2 linked regions of the Anolis sagrei genome follow. The protein of the gene in region 1 binds, or shares a complex with, the protein of each later gene. Links are inferred from orthologs where the notes say so. Each region holds a gene or a part of one and is shown in the gene's direction. Other genes may lie near its edges. The genes, in order: SYNRG and AFTPH.

What was found.
Region 2: SYNRG (region 1) and AFTPH share a complex: the UniProt entries of both Homo sapiens proteins name them as parts of the aftiphilin/p200/gamma-synergin complex. The link is inferred for Anolis sagrei from reciprocal best matches to the Homo sapiens genes SYNRG and AFTPH.

What each region holds. Positions count from the first base shown.
Region 1 is NC_090031.1:24,065,507-24,078,344, reverse strand, and holds the start of SYNRG (synergin gamma), read left to right. Parts: upstream 1-7,134; 5' UTR 7,135-7,178; coding exon 7,179-7,285; intron 7,286-11,029; coding exon 11,030-11,058; intron 11,059-11,157; coding exon 11,158-11,276; intron 11,277-12,805; coding exon 12,806-12,838. Other genes in the region: lysophosphatidic acid receptor 1-A-like, read left to right, coding at 778-1,743. UniProt on the Homo sapiens protein: Plays a role in endocytosis and/or membrane trafficking at the trans-Golgi network (TGN). May act by linking the adapter protein complex AP-1 to other proteins. Component of clathrin-coated vesicles.
Region 2 is NC_090021.1:153,481,323-153,493,664, forward strand, and holds the start of AFTPH (aftiphilin), read left to right. Parts: upstream 1-6,260; 5' UTR 6,261-6,558; intron 6,559-12,342. UniProt on the Homo sapiens protein: Component of clathrin-coated vesicles.

The sequences.
Region 1 (12,838 bases):
TCAGCCGGGACTTCTGATTCTGCCTTTAGCTTGGATTCCTGGACCTGACCTTCAGCCGGGACTCCAGATTCTGCTTTTAGCTTGGATTCCTGGACCTGACCTTCAGCCAAGACTCCTGAACCTGACCTTCAGCCGGGACTCCCGATTCTGCTTTTAGCTTGGATTACTGGACCTGACCTTCAGCCAAGACTCCTGAACCTGACCTTCAGCCAGGACTCCTGATTCTGCCTTTAGCTTGGATTCCTGGACCTGACCTTCGGCCGGGACTTCTGATTCTGCCTTTAGCTTGGATTCCTGGACCTGACCTTCAGCCGGGACTCCTGATTCTGCCTTTAGCTTGGATTCCTGGACCTGACCTTCAGCCAAGACTCCTGAACCTGACCTTCATCCAGGACTCCTGATTCTGCCTTTAGCTTGGATTCCTGGACCTTGACCTTCGGCCGGGACTTCTGACTCTGCCTTTAGCTTGGATTCCTGGACCTGACCTTCAGCCGGGACTCCCGATTCTGCCTTTAGCTTGGATTTCTGGGCCTGACCTTCAGCCGGGACTCCTGATTCTGCCTTTAGCTTGGATTCCTGAACCTGACCTTCTGCCGGGACTCCAAGTACAGACCTTCCACTTTGACTCCCAATCCTGAGTCCTGGATCCAACCTTCAGCTCCAACTCCCAAGTTCAGACCTTCACAGTTGACTCTTGACTTTGACTTTCTATTGGACCCTTGTCACCCTCCTTCTGGCTCTCTACCTTCCCTCTGTCTTCTGCACTTCATCTCCATCATGACCAGAAACCAGAATTGCCACAACCAGACGGCTCATATCTGGACCAGGGAGCTGGTGCTTTCTTTGGGCATCCCCCACATCATCATGACCATCATTTCTGTGGTCTTCAACTCCGCTGTCATCTTGTCCGTTGTGTGCGCCAAGGATCTGCAGAAGCCCATCTTCCTCCTCTTCTGCAACCTGGCCTTCTCTGACCTCCTCTCCAGTGCCTCGGGCTTCTGGGTTGCCCTCTTCTTCATGCGCGACCCTCAGAGCACTGTGGTCGGCTCCCGCAAGATCCTCCGGCTCTATGCCTTCTACGCCGTGCCCATCCTTGCCACCATCTACAACTTGGTGGCCATTGGCATCGAGCGGTACTTGGCCCTGGCTGAGAAGAGGTGGACGAGGCGACGTATCACACGAAACCAGGTGTTAGGCATCGTGTTGGCGATCTGGTTGGTGGCCCTCTTCCTCGGCTTCATGCCCTTGATGGGGTGGAACTGCTTGGGCACGGACAACGTCTCAACCCTCTACAGTCCACTATGCATCAACTATCTTGCCTTCATCACTATCCCCCACAGCACCGTCTCCTTCATTATCCCATTCTTCACTTACTTGAGCATCATCCTATTCTTGAGGAAGCACAAGGTCTCCATGGGTGCGTTGGGTCAAGCCCGTTCGGTTGGCCGCCTCGCCGAGATCCAAGTGGCACGGACCAGCATCCTGATCTGGATCACGGCCTTGCTATCATACATGCCTTTCTTCGTGGCCGTGGTGCTCGACTTGGCCATGCCGCACTGCCCCACAGACCTCCCGCTGGGCATCTACATCTTCCGGAACCTGACTTCCACGATGATTGCCATCAATTCATTGGGGAACCCCATCATCTACACACTCAATGTGAAACGGTTGGGCCGCAGGATCAAGGCCTTGAAGCAGCCTTCCATCAATCGCATTGATGTTCAGGTTGTTGAGAAGATGTGAGCTCCCTCTGGACAATGACATCAGGCTCGTACGGAGCTGAAGCAAAAAATCTTGAAATATAGAAATACAGGAACAACCACCACTGAAATCAATGGCTATTACAGTGTTCCCTCGCTATTTCACGGTTCGCTTTTCACAGATTCACTGTTTTGCGGTTTTCCTTTTTTGCTACTCACTGGGCCAAGTCCTGGCTCTGCCACCGGGACGTGGCCTGGTGAGTAGCGAGCGAGCAAGGAGGGCGGGTGAGCGAGCGAGAGAGGGCTGGCCTCAAAGTCTGATGTGGCCACAGTGGTCCACGCTCTTGTTACATCCCGAATAGATTACTGCAATGCCCTCTACAGGGGTTGCCTTTGAAGACTGTTCAGAAACTCCAACTAGTCCAACGGACGACAGCTAGATTACTCACTGGAGCATCATACCGGGAGCACATCGCCCTCCTGTTATGTCAGCTCCACTGGCTGCTGGTCCAGTTCTGAGCACAATTCAAAGTGCTGGTCTTGACCTATAAAACCCTATACGGTTCTGGTCCAGCGTATCTGTCCGAATGTATCTCCTCCTACATCCCACCTCAGAGTTTAAGATCTTCTGGCGAGGCCCTACTCTTGGCCTCATCTCTGTCGCAAGTGTGCTTGGCAGGGAAGAGGGACAGGGCCTTCTCGGTGGTGGCTCCCCACCTGTGGAATTCACTCCCTGGTGAAATTAGGTCATCTTCATCCTTCCTCTCCTTTAGAAAGAAGTTAAAAACATGGATGTGAGACCAGGCCTTCAGGTAATCTTGCTGACAATCACAGTGACAATTATGACAATTGCTATGGAAATGGACTATGGACATGCATGATGGAGTCTCTAACTACAGATAAGGCCACCAGGCTGTTATTGAAACAGAAACAGGTTTTAATTAATTAATGTGATTTAATGTTTTAAATGTTTTATTGGATTTTATTATGTATTTTATTATGTGTGCATTGGAGGCATCGAATTGTTGCTGGCTGGAAGCCGCCCTGAGTCGTGTCGGGGTACAAATTCCTGAAATAAATAAATAAATAAATAAATAAATTCCAGGCTCCTGTGTCCCTACTTCACAGATTTTCACTTTTCGCGGGGGGTCTTGGAACGTAACCCCTGTGATAAGTACTCCAAGGGAAGGAAAATGGTCCAGATCCTTAGTCAGTTGGGTTCAATGTGCTCTCTTGATATGGGTGAACTATAACTCCTAAACTCGAAGGCCAATTCCCTCCAAACTAAATTACAAATTAAAAATTGGTCATTCTGAGTCTGTAGGCCAAGTTTGGTTGGTTGGGTGCACAGTAATCTCTGGATACAGGGGAACTATTCCCTCTTTTTTCTTTCCTCCCTTCCCAAAAAAATGAAAGAATGAAGCGCTGCAATTCCCGCTCTGGCCACAGGATGGCAGCAAATGATTGCCCATTGCAGCTGGGGAGTCCTATTGGCTTTAATATTTATTTATCGTTTCATCAGCAACCATACCATTGTATTACAATTCTAACAGAGCAAAACAAACACACAGATTGAAAAGAAAAAGATTTTGCAAATTTGGTAGTTGGTTAAATGTCCTTTGACCAGTATCTGGCCACTTGGAGTGCCTCTGTGTCCTCCATCGTGCATGTGGCTGGGCTCAGGGTGCATTGCAGCAGGTGGTCAGTGGTTTGTTCTTCTCCGCACTCGCATGTTGTGGATTCCACTTTGTGGCCCCATTTCTGAAGATTGGCTCTGCATCTCGTGGTGCCAGAGCGCAGTCTGTTCAGGGCCTTCCAAGTCGCCCAGTCTTCTGTGTGCCCAGGGGGGAAGTCTATCATCTGGTATCACCCATGGATTGAGGTACTGGGTTTGGGCCTGCCACTTTTGGACTCTTGCTTGCTGGGGTGTTCCAGCGAGTGTCTCTGTAGATCTAAGAAAACTATGTCTTGATTTGAGTCGTTGACGTGCTGGATGATACCCAAACGGGGATGAGCTGGAGATGTCTCTGCCTTGGTCCTTTCACTATTGGCTGCTACTTCCCGGCGGATGTCAGGTGGTGCAATACCGGCTAAGCAGTGTAATTTCTCCTGTGGTGTGGGGCGCAGACACCCCGTGATAATGCGGCATGTCTCATTAAGAGCCACATCTACTGTTTTAGTGTGGTGAGATGTGTTCCACACTGGGCATGCGTACTCAGCAGCAGAGTAGCATAGCGCAAGGGCAGATGTCTTCACTGTGTCTGGTTGTGATCCCCAGGTTGTGCCAGTCAGCTTTCGTATGATGTTGTTTCTAGCGCCCACTTTTTGCTTGATGTTCAGGCAGTGCTTCTTGTAGGTCAGAGCACGGTCCAAAGTGACTCCCAGGTATTTGGGTGTGTTGCAATGCTCCAGTGGGATTCCTTCTCAGGTAATCCTCAGAGCTCGGGATGCTTGTCTGTTCTTAAGGTGAAAGGCGCATGTCTGTGTTTTAGATGGATTAGGGATCAGTTGGTTTTCCCTGTAATAGGCAGTAAGAGCACCTAGAGCTTCGGAGAGCTTCTGTTCTACCATCTCAAAGCTCCCTGCTTGAGCAGTAATGGCACGATCATCAGCATAGATGAAACTCTCTGTCCCTTCTGGCAGTGGCTGGTCATTTGTGTAGATGTTGAACATGGATGGAGCAAGCATGCTCCTCTGAGGCAGGCCGTTCTTCTCTTTCCGCCATCTGCTTCTCTGGCCCTGGGACTCAACAAAAAAGCTCCTGTTTTGTAGCAGGTTTCCTATGAGGCGGGTGAGGTGGTCGTCCTTTGTGATATTATACATTTTTCTCAAGAGGAGGCAATGGTTCACAGTATCATAGGCTGCTGACAGGTCTATGAAGACAGCTCCTGTGATCTGCTGCCTTTCAAAGCCATCTTCTATGTGCTGAGTCAGGTTCAGCACTTGCGATGTGCAGCTTTTGCCTTTTCTGAAGCCATCTTGCTGTGGAATCAGACAGGGGTCTATTTTTTCCGCAATTCTATGCAAAATAAGTCTCTCCAGAACTTTGTAGAGGTGGCACAACAGGGAGATTGGTCTGTAGCTTTTTGGGTCATTACGGTCTTTGCCTGGCTTCAAGATGGCGATGACTCTTGCTTTCCTCCAGATTTTGGGGATCTGACAGGATGCAGTGCAGTTGTTCATCAGCTCCAGCAGCCAGCGCCTTGCTTTTGGACCAAAGTTCTTGATTTGTTCCATCCGTAGATCATCCAGGCCAGCTGCTTTGCCATTCTTACATTTGTTGAGAGCCATGTCCAATTCTGTAGATGTAAAAGGTTCATGAAGGTTGTTGAAGGGGCAGAATATCAAGGAGGTGCAATTCCCTTGGTGGCCAGGTGATGGCAGAAAATGATTGCCCATTGCAGCTGGGGAGTCCTATTGGCTTTAATGAAGAGGCAGAATATCAAGGAGGATGCAATTCCCTCTGTGTATACAAATATGCATATGCACATTTATATATACATATATATGTAGGTGTATACATGTATGCATGTGTACATATACACATATACACACATATATGTAGGTGTATATATGCATATAGAGGTAGGTATATACATATATGCATGTGTACACACACATATATACACATATATGTAGGTATCCCTCGTAGACCGAGGATGACGGTCCTCCAAGTGTAGTATCCTGGCAGTGGGTCCGTAGGTGACTGTGGAGCCCTATTCTTGATCTGCATGTTCTCCCACTGTGAGGGCATCGGTTTCCAGGTGGAAAGCGGTCCCGGTCGGGGTTGGCTTGACGCGCCTTCCTCTTGGCACGTTTCTTTCTTTTGCCCTCAATTCGTGCCTCTTCAAATTCTGCAGCACTGCTGGTCACAGCTGACCTCCAACTGGAGTGCTCAAGGGCCAGGGCTTCCCAGTTCTCAGTGTCTATGCCAGAGTTTTGAAGGTTGGCTTTGAGCCCATCTTTCAATCTCTTTTCCTGTCCTCCAACATTCCGCTTTCCGTTCTTGAGTTCAGAACAGAAGGGATATATGCATATAAATGTAGGTGTATACATGTATGTAGGAACCTCCAGTGGCGCAGTAGGTTAAAGCGCTGAGCTGCTGAGCTTGTTGACCAAAAGGTCGCAGGTTCGAATCCTGGGAGCGGCATGATCTCCCGCTGTTAGCCCCAGCTTCTGCCAACCTAGCAGTTTGAAAACATGCAAATGTGAGTAGATCAATAGGTACCTCTCTGGCCTGGAAGGTAAGGGTGCTCCATGCAGTCATGCCAGCCACATGACCTTTGAGGCGTCTATGGACAACGCCGGCTCTTTGGCTTAGAAATGGAGATGAGCACCAGAGTCCCAGAGTTGGACACCATTGGACTTCATGTCAGGGGAAACCTTCACCTTTACTATACATATATGCATGTGTACATATACACACATATATACACATATATGTAGGTATATATACACATAGATGTAGGTCTATACATGTATGCATGTGTACATATACACAGATATAGGTAGGTGTAAATATATATATATGTAGGTGTATACATATATGCATGTGTACATATACACATATAAACGCACATATATGTAGGTGTCTATATACATATATATGTAGTTGTATACATATATGCATGTGTACATATACACATATATGTAGGTGTCTATATACATATATATGTAGGTGTATACATATATGCATGTGTACATATATACATATATGTAGGTATATATACACATACATGTAGGTCTATACATGTATGCATGTGTATATATACAGAGATATAGGTAGGTGTAAATATATATATATATATATGTGTAGGTGTATACATATATGCACGTGTACATATACACACATATACACATATATGTAGGTGTCTATATACATATATATGCAGGTGTATACATGTATGAATATGTACATGTATACATATATGCATGTGTACATATACACATATACTCAAATTTATGTAGGTGCATACATATATGCATGTGTACACGTACACACATATATGTAGGTATTTATATGTAGACATATACACATACGTAAATATATATGAAAACGCATATATGCAGGTGTGTGTATACGTGCATATACATATGTGCATATGTACATATCGTATCCTATCCGATTTGTCCTCTATCCACTCCTTTGAGCTTCATGCAAATCTACCATTTTTCCAAAATATAAGACCTAAACATACAGAAATGTAGAGATGAGTGAAATTAACCTGAGCGGCTGTCAGGCATTGTGGGAACTGAAGTCCAACACGCCTGCTCTCCAGGCTCTCTGTGGGGCTCTTCCTGGTTGTTCAAACTCCAACTCCCAGAATCCTTTGGCGCGCCGGCGAATGGCGAGGCCTGCCGGGAGCTGAAGTCCAAGGCGCCTGAGAGGCCAGGCTGCTTTCGCCCCGCCCCTTTTCCCCGCTTCCGCTCAGGAGGCGAGGAGGCCGGAAGTGAGCGCGCTGACAGGAGCCGGGCAAGATGGCGCTGCGGCCGGGCCTGGGGGCTGGGCCCGGCGCTCCCTCCGCCGCCTCTCCTCCGGCGCCGGGCGGACCGGGAGGAGGAGGAAGGAGCCCCGGCCCGGGCAGGTCAGCAGGCCCAGGCGGGCAGGAGGGAGGCGGGAAGGGAGAGGCTTTGAAGGGAGGAGGCCTTGAAGGGAGAAGGCATTAGATGGAGAAGGCCTTGAAGGGAAGGGAGAAGGCCTCAACAGGAGAAAGCCTTGGAGGGAGAAGGTCTTGAAGGGAGAAAGCCTTGGAGGGAGAGGCTTTGAAGGGAAGGGAGAAGGCCTCGAAAGAAGAAGGTCTTGGAGAGAAAAGGCCTCGGAAGGAGAAAGTCTTGGAGAAGGCCTTGAAGGGGAGAGGCTTTGGAGGGAGAGGGTCTCAAAGGGAGGAGGCCTCGATGGGAAGGGAGAATAATAATAATAATATCGAACTGCAAAGATTCTGGCACAAACCAGTCAAGGTGGTCCCAGTGGTGACTGTCACACTGAGTGCAGTGCCTAAAGACCTTGGCCTGCACTTAAACACAATCGGCACTGACAAAATTATCATCTCTCCGAACGTATTCTCCCCTACGAACCATCAAGATTATTAAGATCATCTGGAGAGGCCCTGCTCTCGGTCCCACCAGCCTCGCAAGCGCACCTGGTGGGGACGAGGGACAGGGCCTTCTCGGTGGTGGCCCCGCGACTCTGGAACTCTCTCCCTCTGGAGGCCAAAACCGCCCCATCCATCCTAACATTTAGGAAACGGGTGAAGACGTGGCTGTGGAGTCAGGCCTTTGAGGAATGAGACAACACCATAGGACCCTGGATGGAAGCTGATGTAGATCCATCTTAATAGGACGACTGACCACTGTAGTTTTATATATAGTGTTTTTAAAGTTGTTTTTGTAATTGTGATATATGATATTTTAATGAGTGTATATGTTTTTTATGGCTGGAAACCGGGCTGAGTCCCTCAATGAGGTTGAGAAGCTCGGTATAGAAAACTGTGAAATAAATAATAAATAAATCTGCCAGCTGCAGAAGGCTACCTTACTGGGATCTGCACGCATTACTTGCCAATACATCACACAGTCCGACGTGTGATCCAATACAACAGCCAGCAGAGTGTCTGCTGTGGACTCATCTTGTTGTGTTTCAAATAATAATCATAATCATATATATATATATATATTGTCATGTCAGGAGCAACCGTTCCTGTTGTGAGAGAATTGGACGTCTGCAAGGACGTTGCCCAGGGGACGCCTGGATGATTTGTGATACTTTATCATCCTTGTGGGAGGCTTCTCTCATGTCCCCACATGAGGAGCTGGAGCTAACAGAGGGAGCTCATCCGCTTCTCCCCGGATTCGAACCTGCGACCTGTCAGTCTTCAGTCCTGCCAGCACAGTGCTTTAACCCACTGCACCACCGGGGGCTCCTAATAATAAAACTTTATTTATACTCCGCCACCATCTCCCCAACGGGCTAACATGAGGCCAATCCCAAAGAATTACAACAAATCAAAACAAAATACATACAGCAATTAATAACATCAAATGAAATATAAACAAAACAACTTAATACAAAATCAACATTTATTTATTTATTTACCGCATTTATATGCCGCCCTTCTCACCCCAAAGGGGACTTAGAGCGGCTTACAAAATATATTTTCACACAATATATTATATTATTAGTATAGAACAATATCAGTATTATATATTACTATATTGCACTATACTGTTATATTGTATAATACACAAAAATGAAATAAGAAAACAAAAATGAGAAGGCCTCGAAGGGAGAAGGCCTTGGATAACCCAGAGGGTTCTTCTTCCCACTGCTTCTTCTTCATCCTGGAAAGAAGTGACAAGCAGAGTGCCACAAGCAGGGTTCCTTCCTGGGCCCAGTCCTGCTCAGGATCTTCATTCATGACTGAGATCCATGGTTCTCAAACTGTGGGTCTCCAGATGGCTGGGATTTCTGGGAATTGTAGGTCAAAACACCTAGGGACCCACAGGTTGAGAACCACTGACTTAGATGAAGGGTTAGAAGGCAGGATCATCGAGTTTGCAGATGACACCAAATTGGGAGAGATAGCCAATAATCCAGAAGACAGGAGCAGGATTCAAAACTATCTTAACAGATTAGAGAGATGAATGGCCAAAACTAACACAATTAAGTTCAACAGGGACAAATGTAAGATACTCCACTTAGGCAGGAAAGAAAGGAAATGCAGAGATACAGAATGGAGGACGAGGCCTGGCTCGACAGCAGGACCTGTGGAAAAGATCTTGGAGTCCTTGTGAGGAGGAAGGGGAACAGGAGCCAAGAACATGATGCAGTGGCAAAAAAGCCAATGGGATTTTGGTCTGCATCAATAGGAGTCTAGTGCCTTGATCCAGGGATGTCATGCTCCCCATGATCTATTCTGCCTTGGTTAGACCGCACGGGAATACTGTGTCCAATTCTGGGCACCACAATTGAAAGGAGATGTTGACAAGCTGGAATGTGTCCAGAGGAAAGCGACTAAAAGGACCAAGGGTCTGGAGAACAAGCCTTATGAGGAGCGGCTTAAAGAGCTGGGCATATTTAGCCTGCAGAAGAGAAAACTGAGAGGAGACGTGATAGCCATGTATAAATAAGTGAGAGGAAGTCATAGGGAGGAGGGAGCAAGCTTATTTTCTGCTGCCCTGGGGATTAGGATACAATGGCTTCAAACTACAAGAAAGTAGATTCCATCTGAACATGAGGAAGAACTTCCTGATTGTGAGAGCCGTTCAGCAGTGGAACTCTCTGCCCCGGAGTGTGGTGGAGGCTCCTTCTTTGGAGGATTTTAAACAGAGGCTGGGTGGCCATCTGTCAGGGATGCTTTGAATGCAATTTTCCTGCTTCTTGGCAGAATGGGGTTGGACTGGATGGCCCATGAGGTCTCTTCCAACTCTAGGATTCTATTATTCTAAGGCCTTGAAGGGAGAAGACCTTGAAGGGAAGGGAGAAGGCCTTTTCTTTAACTTTGGCTATAATTAATAAGAATGGTTTTCCTCCCCTCTTCCTTTATTGATGCTTATAAATAAGTCACGGCTTTTCTAGAAAGCTTTGCATGTTTAATGGCTGGGCCTTTCTTCTCTCACTGCACGAAATGGTAACCGGAGTTGCCTGGCCTGGTTGCGCTTCACAACCAGTTGTGTGCTTGCCTCTTTCAAATAGGTGAGGAAGGTAAGCTTCCATGTTGAGTGAGCGTCAACGCGAACATAATTTCAGCAGGGTGATTTTAATGGACATGTAGATTTAAAGGCTTGAATGAAGGCATGTTAATCTCACTCTGGCATACTTTATGATTAATTCAAGAGTACACATTGCTGTTTTTGATCTGCTAGGTTGGCGGGGAGCTGGGCTGAACGTCAGGAGCTCACCCTGACACAGCTTCGAACTGTCAATCTTCCAGTTGGCAAGATTTACTGTAGCTGGTGATTAACCTACTGTGCTAAAGCTAACCCTCATCATTAAAACAGAGATTAAACACTATTAAAATACAATATACACACAGTTAAAATGCAGGTTAAATGCAGCTAGTTAAAATTGACAGGTTTGGCCTGCCAGAAGACATGGATATTCGGTTACATCTTAAATTCCGACAGCTGATTTAGCTGTTGAATCTTATTATTATTATTTATTATTTCTGGTATTTATAGCCCATCTCTTCTCTACCCCCGAAGGGGGACTCAGGACGACTTACATTGGCAGCAATTCTCTTCGATAGTCATTCCACAGCCTTAGCATTGGATATTAGCTCTGTTTCTCAAATTGTAAACTCATGGCTTTTTCCCCTCCTCTTCTTTTCCAGCTTCATGTTTCCTGGTCTTGGTCCTCAAGGTACGTAGAACAAGGCAGGCACAGTTGAACCTCCATTCCCCTCAACATACCTACTCTGCTTGGCGAGACTCCTAACCTTGTTTTGTTTTCTTGCTGCAGGGATGATCCCCATGCAACAGCAAGGCTTCCCTGTGGTTTCTGTCATGTCGCCCAACATGCAAGGCATGATGGGGATGAATTACGCAGCCCAGATGCCTCCCGGAACGATGGCCATGCAGGTTGGGAGTCACGAGAAAGTTGTATTGTCGAAGGCGTTCATGGCCAGAATCCCTGAGTTGTTGTGTGTTTTCCAGGCTGTCTGGCCATGTCCCAGAAGCATTCTCTCCTGACGTTTTGCCTGCATCTGTGACAGGCATTCTCCAAGGTTGTGAGGTCTGTTGGAAACTAGAAAGTCTACTGTATGGAGTCTACCATATACCATGCAGAAGTGGGCAAGTCTGCATAGGGGCTCCCAAACTCAGCATTCCCCAAACATGAATCAAGGAACATGAAAGGCACTGCTGACTAATAATAATAATAATAATAATAATAATTTTATACCCCGCTCTTCTCACCCCAATGGGACACTCTGGGCGGCTTATGGACCCTGGCATACAATGCCGCATTACACATCTAATAATAAACATGACATAATGATGATGATGATGATGATGATGATTATACTAAATTTATACTCTGCCCTTCTTACCACACATGGCTATTAGGGCTGGGTAACCACGGAAAAATTTGTTTCTAAACTCGATTTGTTTCCAGGGGGCGCTAGTGTTTCCAAATTCTAAATACTTCCGAAATTTTGAGATTTCGAAATTTACGAAATTTTGTATAATTACGAATCGATTCGTTAATGGCGGACGCGATTGCGCAATATGCTAAAAAAACCTCCAAATGGGACAAGGGGAACTTCTGGAGCTTCCCTCTCCCTCTGTTGTTGACTGTTGGTGTGATAATTTATTTTTTATCACTGATAAAACAAACAACAACTATAAAACTTGCACCAGACATACGGAAATAATTACGAAACAATTTCGAAACAATTTTGAACCAATTACGAAACAATACGAAATAAATTGGAAAAATTGTTTCGATTTTTAATTACTCCTCACACTATTCCTGCATGGCTCAATATCGGATCGGAAGCTAATTTAAATACGAATTAATAACGAATTACGAAATTAACGAACGAAACCGCCCAGCCCTAATGGCTATTAGTATTAAAAATACCCCTCAAAAATCATAACTGTAAATAAAGAACAGCACTCAAAAGCTGAGAATTCCAGACAAGAAACAATCAGGGCCAATGAATCACCTCCCAACAAAGGATTCCCCCGGGCAGTAAGAAGCCACACCTTGAAAACTGCTAGGCCATTAAAGGCTACTCAAGCTGGCCAATTGCTAGATTATTTGTTTGTTTACAGTATTCATATTCCACCCTTCTCACCCCGCAGGGGACTCGGGGCGGATCATAATGCACATATACATGGTAAACATTCAGTGCCATAGACACACAACATATATATACAGAGACAGAGGCTATTTAACTTTCCAGCTTCATGAGGGTATGCTTTTTGAATTTCGGCCACCGGGGGAGCTGTCGCTTCATCATTCACTTGTTTTCCTTTTTTTTTTTGTCATGTCAAGAGCGACTTGGCCACACACCCCGGAAAACACACAACAACCAAAGAGAAAATTGTTTCTTGTGCTCTTGAGGGAGACTGGCTTCTTGCTAAAGCCCTCCTTGTGTTTGCAGGGCGGCATGCCTTTGGGTCACCTGCCAGCAGCT
Region 2 (12,342 bases), on another chromosome or scaffold:
ACTTGAGGTGAAGTACATCGGATATTAACTTAGTTTTTACTGTACTTAGTGTCTTTATAACAACATTATAGTTAAATAATGGTTAAATAATATTCAAAGCAGCCTGTGAGAAGGAAACAGTAATCAAATCATACACATTAATAAAACATTACATATTTTTTACTTATACAGTGTGTCAATATTTCAGGTTTATAATTTTTATGATGACATTGTGATTCTATTTGAGTTTGTTGTATGTGTAAACAAACTTAGAGAAGCTTGAAGAATTTGTTTTGCTTTGGATCAAAGAAGTAGTGATTAAACTTGCAGTCTGGTTCACTTCGTGGGTGGTGTGGAAAAAATACTTTTTGGCCAAAATTCATCACATTTACTAAATTCCACGGAGTCCTCCACTTTAAAAGTGATAACCCACGGTGTTCATCACATTATGTTATGAATAAGTTTCAATAACTTTAAAGTAGAGGTTCTTTTTATTGCAATTTTCCAGTAAGAGAAAGGCTATCAGAACTTTTACAGAACAACATTTAACATACAGACATACAGATTCTGTGTAACTACATTGAATTCACAAACCTACAGTTACATTGGATAACAAACAAACATTTTTACTCAACATTCACATTTCCCATATACATTCACCCATCATTCATCTTTCACATGCACACATCACCATTTCCTTTCTCCTGCTGTCATCTGGAGAAGAACACCTCTTAGGCCAGACTGCTTCCTTGCAAATCTGCCAAAGCATCAAGCTTCTAAAACGCCAAAATGTCAAAATGCATCATTCCCCTGAGAACATGACTCCAAAATGCACTCTTTTCTCATCCCTTGAGAAAAAGAGCAAGTGCACAAAATCCTGCTTTCCCACAGCAGATCTAACACTCCTAAGGTACACTATCTCTCTCAATCCCAATGGAGCAGAGATTAGAGGGTGAACAGCATCTTTATGTCACAATTTTTGGAATATCAGAAGGTCTCTTATATAGCAATATTTCGCTGATGTTCCAAAAACCTGTAAATGAATGATAGACGTCTTCCATCCTGAAACATGTTGTGTGATGTCGCATGCTGGGCCTGCACATAAGACTGTAGACAGGACATAAATTCTGTGTGCCCAACGGGATGCCGGGGCTTCCTCAGATTAAAGGCCTTTGGATTTCTTTAAACAGAGTCTTTAGATTGCTCAAAGGTTCAACAAAGTTCTTTATTATTGAAATCAAACAGGTACTTCAAGGCTTTCTTAATAGTCTATTGGCTCTCTCAATCTTGTCCACAGGGGACAGGCACTATCTTCATAACTATATTTTAACTAATGGGGAAATCCTTAACCTCTTATCTGGGCAGTCTGTCTTTGCCTCTGTTGCCGTGGAGCCCCTACACCAACTGCTTCTGGCTTCCGCGAGTGACCCTTACCAAGCAGAGCTTTGTAGACTTCCAGGGGAAAAGAAGATATTCAGGTTTCAGTGATGGCTGGCTGAAGTGCTGTGGGACCAGATTCCCTCAGCAAAGGGACTGTAAGGCTGTAAAATCCTCAGCAAAAGAGCTGTGCTGAGACTGCATCTCTCTGGTCAAGCTATGGGGCGGTATACCCCAGACCAAGCTGTAAAAGATGAAGCTTTCTACAGGAGCTCCTGGTTTTATGTCCTGTTTGAAAGGCTTCTGTGTGTGGACTGACCCAAAATGGCTCCTATTCCCTCCAAAACCCCAAAAGGGGCGGGACCAGGGAACCAAACAATAATTGACAGGTCATAGATCCAATAAATGCAAACTAAGGAAAGCCATCTAACTGCAAAGGCATAGAACTTTAAAATACATGCAGTAATCAACAAATAGCAAGATAAGCTGGAGCTCCTGGTGCGGTTGTCCCAGAACATGTTGATTGCATCTCAGTTTACTCTTCTGGTAACAAACCATTGTGTCTTGAAAGAGCATTTGCTTTGACTAATGTAAACAGAGGTAATTTCTCTTAGAGTTAATCCAGTTTTAGTCAGCAAATGTTGACAAATGTAAACAGACGTAAACATTTTTCTTATCACTGTCACAGTTCTTATCACAGTTTACCATTTCAGTTCTCATTAGCAGGTTTTAATTGCAATTCATCAAACAGGTTTAATCATTTCAGGCCTTAATCTTCAGAATGGTGTCTCCAAAATTATTAGCGGTCATTCATTCATCTTCCATATAATTCATTCAGACTATAGATCGTATTCCATCGTAACATTCTGTTGGGCTCAAGTGTGGGGTACAGCATTTTTTCTGTGTCTAAAGCATTGGGAACTGCTTTCTTTTCAGGAGCTAGTTGGGAAGTGGATTTTTGGGGAAGAATTTAGATGTAATGGGCAAAATGGTCACTTCTGTAATATGATGATGTGCAGGTACAGCTGTTCCAGGAGCTCCAATTTTGTTTGCTTTGCATTGAATGTTTGTTATAGTCCTAAGTTTCAGGGACTCTGCAAATAGGTGGCTTCTTTTGGCTGCAATCATAGGGCAAGCCATCTGTCAATTATAATTAGGTTCCCTGGTCCCACCCCCTTTTTGGGTTTTTGGAGGGAATAGGAGCCTTTTTGGGTCAGTCCACACAGAGAAGCTTTCCATGCAGGACATAATACCAAGAGCTCCTGTAGAAAGCTTCGTCTTCTACTGCTTGGCCGGGGTTATACAGCCCACAGCTTGGCCGAGGATCATACAGCCCTACAGCTCCTTTGCTGAAGGACTTCAGTCAGCCATCACAGAAGCCTGAATTCTTTTCCCCTGGAAGTCTACAAAGCTCTGCTTGGTAAGGGTCTCTCGCGGAAGCCAGAAGCAGTTGGTACCGGGTGTAGGGGCTCCACGCCAACAGAGGCAAAGAAAGACTGCCCAGATTAGAAGTTAAGGATTTCCCTATTAGTTAGTATACAGTTATGAAGATAGTGCCTGTTCCTTGTGGACAAGATTGAGAGAGCCAATAGACAGTTAAGAAAGCTTTAAAGTACCTGTTTGTTTTCATCAATAAAGAACTTTGTTGAACCTTTAAGCATTCTAGAGACTGTGTTTTAAGGAAATCCAAGGGCCTTTAATCTGAAGCAGCCCTGGCGTCCCGTTGGGCACACGGAATTTATGTCCTGTCTACAGTCTGATGCACAGGCCCAGCGTGCGACAGCACAGATGGCATTCATTCTTCTCAGATGGGATTTGCAGTACCTGGGCTAAACATGGCACAGAGAAGCCCCCTGACCAACTAAATATACTGGAATTGTTTGGGGGTAATTGACCTTGATTTTGGGGTGTTGTAGTAAACCTGTATCCAGAGATACTGTAGCCCCTACCAACAATGGACTGGGACACATTGGTGATATGCTTTTCAGACATATATAATTTCATGACAAATTTGGTTTTACTAACAAACTGGAGGCTAAACAAATCCCTCATAAGAGATACGGTCACATACATAAATTACAATAACGGAATGTATGGGGACACAGTATATGTCATGAAAACCTTTAATTTATGTTTTTTTTAAAAAAAAATTTTCAAGATAATTACATATATTTCCAATATGTTTGTCATCTCTTGTTATGTTCATGCGACACTTGCAGCCAACACACTCAGCTATAGGGCATCATATACAACTTTTCTTAGCATATCTCATGATATTATCACCTGTCCTTGCACGACTATGCAGAGCTGGGAAGAGCTATTGCAATGTCTAGTAACAAATCATATGAATCTTTACTGCGTTTTCCCCTTCGCTTAAGAGTTTTGTTATTCATACAGACAGGTTGTAGTTCTGTGCAGTAATATTTATGAAAGCCTCTGGCTTACAACACAACTCTCTTCTTTCTTACAGGATACATTTAGACTTAGGTTGCCATCTTGTGGCTTTGTAGTATGAGAACAGTCATAATTATTTCAAAGATTTGCAGGTTTACCCAGTAACAACATTTTTTTAATAAGCAGGAACCCCAACTTATATTATCATCTGGTAGTTTATTATCATAATCCTTTGTCTATGAGGCACACAAGCTTGTTTGAATACCAGTAATGCCTAGTTACTGCATGACTCTTTTTCACATGTAAATGTGGGCATAATGCCGTAGAAGTTAGTGGTCACACAATTTGCACCAGGAGTAAAGCTTTCCTGTATTTGTACCAATACCTGACCTATCTATGGGACATTTCACAATCACTCAAAATGTCCTGACTCAAAATGCCTCTACAGCTTTTGCATAAAATGTCCTTCAACATTCTTCATGGAAGACATGTCTGTGACAGACGTGTCTAGTATTTAAACGGTCAATTAAAGCCAAATTCATAGAATCATAGAATTGGAAGTGACCTCGTGGGCCATCCAGTCCAACCCCTGCCAAGAAGCAGGACAAATAAGTTAAAGTTGGCTAAAAACAGCAAGATTGTGAGTGACAACACATTGTGTTCTAAATAATAAATGAATGATAGCCCATCAACCAAATGTACTATCCATTTACAAAAGGCTTGCACAGCCTGTGGCCTTCCAGGTGTTTGGGACTCCAGCTCCCAGAAGCCCTAGCCAACTTGTCCAGTGGTCAGGGATTCTGGGATCTGAAGTTCAAAACACCTGGAGGGCCATAGGCTGTGTAGGCTTGATTTAGAGCAGGGGTCCTCAAACTAAAGCCTTTGGGCTGGATATGGCCCTCCAAGGTCATTTACCCAGCCCTCGGTCAGGATCAACCTAAGTCTGAAACAACTTGAAAGCACACAACAACAACACTATCTCATCAGCCAAAAGCAGGCCCACACTTCCCATTGAAATACTAATAAGTTTATATTTGTTAAAATTGTTCATTTTAATTATTGTATTTTAAGTGTTCTTTGCACTACAGATATGTGCAGTGTGCATAGGAATTCGTTCATTTTTTTCCAAATTATAATCTGGCCCTCCAACAGTTTGAGGGTCTGTGACCTGGCCCTCTGTTTAAAAAGTTTGAGGACCCCTGATTTACAGCATTCTGTAAAACGAGTATAAAGCTTATCAAATCTCTTTATCTCACTAAATATTTGCTTCATAAATTACTTTAGAATAGAATAAGTTTACTGGGTGTGACTGTTTCAAATGACCACCCTGATTAGCATTTGATTGCTTGGCAGTGCCTGGAGTAATCTTTTGTTAAGTGATTAGATGTCCTTGTTTGTGTCCTCCCTGGGTTGTTGTAGGTTTTTTCAGGCTGTATGGCCATGGTTTAGAGGCATTCTCTCCTGACGTTTCACCTGCATTTATGGCAAGCATCCTGAGAGGTAGTGAGGTCTGTTGAAACTAGGCAAAAGGGTTTATATATCTGTGGAATGACCAGGGTGAGACAAAGGACTCTTGTCTTCTGGAGCTAGGTGTGAATGTTTCAACTGACCACCTTGATTAGCATTTGATTGCCTAGCAGTGCCTGGAGTAATCTTTTGTTGAGAGGTGATTAGATGTCCTTGTTTGTTTCCTCTCTGTTGTTGTGCTCTTCTAATTTTATTTATTTATTTATTTAGGGTATTTCTACCCCGCCCTTCTCAACCCCGGGAGGGACGGGACGGGGATGGGGACTCAGGGCGGCATACAGAGGCACAATTCAATGCTGACATCAACATAAACAATAAAATAAAACATGAATAACAGCAATTAAACAATTAAAACATCACATCAATAAATCCATTCTAACGCTCAGCGTTCAGTGTTCGCCATCTCATAGTCCGTAAATTCAATTCCACATCATCAATTCTAGTTGTCGATTGTCCTTGTCTCACTGCTAGATTGCCCGAACGCCTGGTCCCACAACCATGTTTTCAACTTCCTTCTGAAGGAAAAGAGGGATGTTGATGACCTGATTTCCCCAGGGAGTGAATTCCACAGGTGAGGGGCCACCACCGAGAAGGCCCTGGTAGCCAGATTTTGTTCATTTTAGAGTTTTTTAATACTGGTAGCCAGATTTTTGTTCATTTTCATGGTTTCCTCCTTTCTGTTGAAATTGTCCACATGCTTGTGGATTTCAATGGCTTCTCTGTGTAGTCTGACATGGTGGTTGTGAGAGTGGTCCAGCATTTCTGTGATCTCGAATAATATGCTGTGTCCAGGTTGGTTCATCTCTGCTCTGCTATGGCTGACTTCTCTGACTGAAGTAGTCAGCGCTAACTTGAAGGAACCTCAAAATCTAGACGTGAAAGGGCGAGCGTGGTTCCTCTCTCTGCCCACTAGGGGGCGGGGGTGTATGTGTGTGCGGAAACATCCCGGAAGCGGAAGTTGACGCCGTGGCGGCGAGCAGCTGGGCGAGGGCGTGAACCTTCCGCCGACCAAGCCCGCGCGCCGCTGCCGGAAGCGACGTCCGCGCGCCCGCCGAGGATGTGGCGGAGAGGGCAGCCTTGAGCTTGCGTTGCATGCCGGGAAGCGGTGGGCTGAGTCGGGCGCCTGAGCCGGGCGAGACCAAGGAAGGAAGGAAGCGGGGGAGGGCAGAGAAAGAGAGAGAAAGAGAGATGGACTCGCCCTGAGGGCCGTTGCCATGTCCGGCCCCGCTTTAGGAGAAGGCTCGCCCTCCCGCCGCCCTCGGGTTTCGGAGGCACAGCAAGGTAAGGCGGCTTTCCCACAGGAGACCCTTCGAGGCCAGGAAGACGGAAGCCGCGCAGGCCTCCCTCCTTTCACTTTCTCCATGGCAACGGGGACGCCCCCTCCTGCCTCCCGCTCCCCCCAGAGTGAGTCCCCTGGAAGAGGCCTACTCCCCTCAGGAGTGGGAGGACTGGCTCTGCGGCTTCGAAGCAGAAGGTCCGGCTGGGAGTGGGGCCAAAGGGGAAGCCAGGGGTGGGGAGCGGTTGCTCCGCCTTTGCCTTTGGCCCCTTCCACACAGCTCAATACAATCCCACATTATCTGTGATATACAGGTGTGGACTCAGATAACCCAGTTTAAAGCAGATACTGTGGGGTTTTCTGCCTTAATATTCTGGGATATATGGCTGTGGGGAAGGGCCCTATGTCTCTGAAAAGGGGAAGCAAGGGATGATAGGGAAATGTCCAATTTGCCAGAACGATGCACTTTTTGAGCAGGAGTAATAATAATAATAATATCACTTTATTTGTACCCCGCTACCATCTCCCCAAGGGACTCGGTGCAGCTTACATGAGGCCAAGCCCAAATACAACAATACAAGTAATAATAACAACAATACAAGCAATTAAAATAAACATGGACAATACAATAATGCAACATTAACAATAAGACCACACGATTAAAAACTATGGGAAGAAGATGTTGGGTTTCTTTTAGTCTTGGTTTCATGTTGTCTCAGTTCTCCAACCCAAACCGATATTATTATTTACTAGCCGTTCCCTGCCACGCGTTGCTGTGGCCCACATGGGGGTTCTGTGTGGGAGGTTTGGCCCAGTTCTCTCGTTGGTGGGATTCAGAATGCTCTGTGATTGCAAGTGAGCTATAAATCCCAGCAACTACAACTCCCAAATGTCAAGATTCTATTTTCCCCAAACTCCACCAGTGTTCACATTTGGGCATATTGAGTATTCGTGTAGATCTAGGGAAGTAATGCTACCCCTCTACTCCGCTTTGGTTAGACCACACCTGGAATATTGTGTCCAATTCTGGGCACCACAATTCAAGACAGATATTGACAAGCTGGAATGTGTCGAGAGGAGGGCGACTAAAACGATCAAGGGTCTGGAGAACAAGCCCTATGAGGAGCGGCTTAAGGAGCTGGCATGTTTAGCCTGAAGAAGAGAAGGCTGAGAGGAGATATGATAGCCATGTATAAATATGTGAGAGGAAGCCACAGGGAGGAGGGAGCAAGCTTGTTTACTGCTTCCATGGAGATTAGGCTTTTGTGGCTGGAATCACTGGGTTCTTGTAGGTTTTTGGGCTATATGTCCATGTTCCAGAAGCATTCTCTCCTGATGTTTTGCCTGCATCTATGGCAAGCACCCTCAGACCTCACTACCTCTGAGGATGCTTGCCATAGATGCAGGTGAAAGGTCAGGGGAGAATGCTTCTGGAACATGGCCATATAGGCCGAAAAACCTACAAGAACCCAAACAACATATAAATCAACAAAATAGATAAAACAACATCAATATAAGCTTATAATAAATAACCAATAATGAACATAATATATCACCTTACACACATTTACCAACTGCCCATCATTCGTAATCCATTGTCCCCCAAACTATACCAGGACATGAAGTGGGTCACAAAGTTGTCTGTACCCTAAGTTTGGTCCAGGGTTGTCATTTGTAGGGGTTGCAGTGGTCTGTGAAAGTGAGTACTGCAAATCCCATCATCCTCACCCAAACTACACCAGGACGTAAAGTGGGTAATAAACACAAACAAAATTTCAATTCAGTTACAGTCTATCAAAACATATTCAATATTCTGACTAGATCTTAAAAACATTTCTTTCTTTAAAAGCCTGCCTGAAGAAAAAGGTTTTAGCCTGCTGCCGGAAGGACAGCAGGGAGAGGGCTGTTCTGACTTCCCTGGGGAAAGGGGAGTTCCAGAGTTGAGGGGCAGCCACCAAGAAGGAAGGCCCACTCTCTTTCTCACCAACTGAGCTTGAGATGGAGGTGGAACCAAGCGAAGGACCTCTCCTGAAGATCTCAGGGATGGGCAGGTTCATACAAGGGGATGCAGTTGGCCAAATAGCCTCAACCTGAACCATCTAGGGCTGTAAAGGTCATCACCAGCACTTTAAATTGTACCTGGAAACAGACTGGCAGCCAGTAGAACTGCTGCAACAGGCGGGTTGTCCGCCAACTGTAGCCAGCCGCAGTCAGCAAGCTGGCTGCAGCTCTTTGAACGAACTGAAGTTTCTGAGCACTCTTCAGAGGCAGCCCCACATACAGTGTGTTACAGTAATCCAGACGGGATGTCTGGATTACTTCATCTTGGGAATCTCACCTGAAAGTACATGTCTTCCTTGTTTACCTATTTTCTGTCCCTATCCCTTTAGCGAGGAACAGCGATGGAGTTGGAAGAGACTTCCTGGGCCACCTAGTCCAACCCCCTGCCATGCAGTAAAAACCCCAAAATTCCCCTGACAGATGGCTACCCAGCCTCTGTTTAAAAGTTTCCAGGGAAGGAGCTTCCATCACACTCCGAGGTAGAGAATTCCATTGCTGAACACCTTTTACAGTCAGGAAGTTCTTCCTAATGTTCAGGTGGAATCTCTTCCTGGAATTTGAACCCATTGCTCCGAGTCCTAGTTTCCAAGGCAGCAGAATACAAGCCTGCTGCCTCTTCCTTATGTCATCATTTCAAATATTTATACATGGCTATCATGTCTCCTCTCTCCCTTCTCTTCTGTAGGCTAAACATTCCCAACTCTTTAAGATGCTCCTCATAGGGATCAATGGTCTCCAGACCTTTGATCATTTTAGTTGCCCTCCTTTGGACACCTTCCAGCTTGTCAATATCTCCTTTGATCTGTGTGCCCAGAACTGGGCACAGTATTCCAGGTGAGATTTGAACAAAACAGAATAGAGGGGCTCCATGATTTCCTTCAATCTAGACACTTTATTTCTTTTGATGCAGCTCATTGACTTTTTAGCTGCTTCATCACATAATACAGTATATGACACTACTCATGTATAGGTTTTTTTACTCCATAGGTAAGGGTTGCTAGGCTGCATTAAAGGGGATTACTACTCCTATGCCCCATTGCAGACATTTTTTACAGCATTGTTTTTAAAACCGTGAGTCCTGTTAGCTCAATGTTGAGGCCCTGGAAAATTTAGCAATAATAAATATTTTCTTGTTGCACAGTGGCAGTTTTATATGTTTACACTAATCTCTTGTGCAGTGTTTACAGTGGACTATGCAGAATGTGGTTCAACTATATAAGCAGTCCTTGAGTGACAAACACCCAATTTACAAACAACACATAGTAACATTATATACAGTTTGTCTATATCCACAGTTTGTTGTCTTTTTACTGAAGAAGTTTTTATCAGTAGGGGTTTTATAGATAGTTTATAGTTTGTTTTATATAAACTTTGAGTGAAAATGTTTATTGTTCTGTTTTATATGTTTATGTACCTAATGTATTCTCTGTGTTATTGCACTATTGAGTGTTTTTGTGAGCTGCCCTAAGTCCGTTTGGGGAGATGGTGGCAGAATACAAATAAAGTTTATTTATTTATTTTATTTAGTTAAGAACGAGGGTGAGACAACAGGAAGTGAGAGAATTCTATCTCTCTGAAGGGAATTTCACTCCTGAAGGAATTATCATGGAGAAAAAGTGTTTCCACTGAAGCTGTATCACCATTGTTTGCACAACAAGCCAATTTTTCAAAATCCAATTCTCATAGGGATAGAAAATGAGGTGAAATCTTCTCTGACAGGGGCACAGACAGCAAAAGAAAAACTACAGAGCTGTTAACCCTTCCCTATACTATCCAAAGCTGGTACATATGTGTGTGTGTGTGTGTATGTATGCGTAGTAGATAGTCTGTGTTGTTGTTCATTCGTTCAGTCGTCTCCGACTCTTCGTGACCTCATGGACCAGCCCACGCCAGAGCTCCCTATCGGCAGTTACCACCCCCAGCTCCCTCAAGGTCAGTCCAGTCACTTCAAGGATGCCATCCATCCATCTTGCCCTTGGTCGGCCCCTCTTCCTTTTGCCTTCCACTTTCCCCAGCATAATTGTCTTCTCTAGGCTTTCCTGTCTCCTCATGATGTGGCCAAAGTACTTCAACTTTGTCTCTAGTATCTTTCCCTCCAGTGAGCAGTCGGGCTTTATTTCCTGGAGGATGGACTGGTTGGATCTTCTCGCAGTCCAAGGCACTCTCAGAACTTTCCTCCAACACCACAGCTCAAAAGCATCGATCTTCCTTCGCTCAGCCTTCCCTATGGTCCAGCTCTCACATCCGTAGGTTACTACAGGGAATACCATGGCTTTGACTATGCGGATCTTTGTTGCCAGTCTGATGTCTCTACTCTTTACTATTTTATCGAGATTGGACATTGCTCTCCTCCCAAGAAGTAAGCGTCTTCTGATTTCCTGGCCACAGTCTGCATCTGCAGTAATCTTTGCACCTAGAAATACAAAGTCTGTCACGGCCTCCACGGTTTCTCCCTCTATTTTCCAGTTGTCAATCATTCTTGTTGCCATAATCTTGGTTTTTTGACGTTTAGCTGCAACCCGGCTTTTGCGCTTTCTTCTTTCACCTTGATTAGAAGGCTCCTCAGCTCCTCCTCGCTTTCGGCCATCAGAGTGGTGTCATCTGCATATCTGAGGTTGTTAATGTTTCTTCCAGCAATTTTCACCCCAGCTTTGCATTCATCCAGCCCCGCACATCGCATGATGTGTTCTGCATACAAGTTAAAAAGGTTGGGTGAGAGGATGCAGCCTTGCCGGACGCCTTTCCCAATCTTGAACCAGTCTGTTGTTCCGTGGTCAGTTCTTACTGTTGCTACTTGGTCCTTGTACAGATTCCTCAGGAGAGAGACAAGGTGGCTTGGGATGCCCATCCCACCAAGAACTTGCCACAATTTATTATGATCCACACAGTCAAAGGCTTTAGAATAGTCAATGAAGCAGAAGTAGATGTTTTTCTGAAACTCCCTGCCTTTCTCCATTATCCAGCGGATATTGGCAATTTGGTCTCTCGTTCCTCTACCTTTTCTAAACCCAGCTTGAACATCTGGCAACTCTCGCTCCATGTATTGCTGGAGTCTTCCTTGCAGGATCTTGAGCATTACCTTACTGGCATGAGAAATAAGGGCCACTGTACGGAAGTTGGAGCAGTCTTTCGCATTTCCCTTTTTTGGTATGGGGATATAAGTTGATTTTTTCCAGTCTGATGGCCATTCTTGTGTTTTCCATATTTGCTGGCAAATGGCATGCATCACCTTGACAGCATCATCTTTTAAGATTTTAAACAGTTCAGCTGGGATCCCGTCGTCTCCTGCTGCCTTGTTGTTAGCAATGCTTCTTAAGGCCCATTCAACCTCACTCCTCAGGATGTCTGGTTCTAATTCATTCACCATACCGTCATAACTATCCTCAATATTATTATCCTTCCTATACAGATCTTCTGTATAGTCTCGCCACCTTCTCTTGATCTCTTCAGCTTCTGTTAGGTCCCTGCCATCTTTGTTTCTTATCATACCAATTTTTGCCTGAAATTTACCTCCAATGTTTCTAATTTTCTGGAAGAGGTCTCTTGTCCTTCCTATTCTGTTGTCTTCTTCCACTTCCATGCATTGCTTATTTAAAAATAGTTCCTTATCTCTTCTGGCTAACCTCTGGAATTGCGCATTTAACTGGGCATATCTCCCCTTATCCCTGTTTCCTTTTGCTTTCCTCCTTTCTTGGGCTACTTCCAGTGTCTCAGCAGACAACCATTTT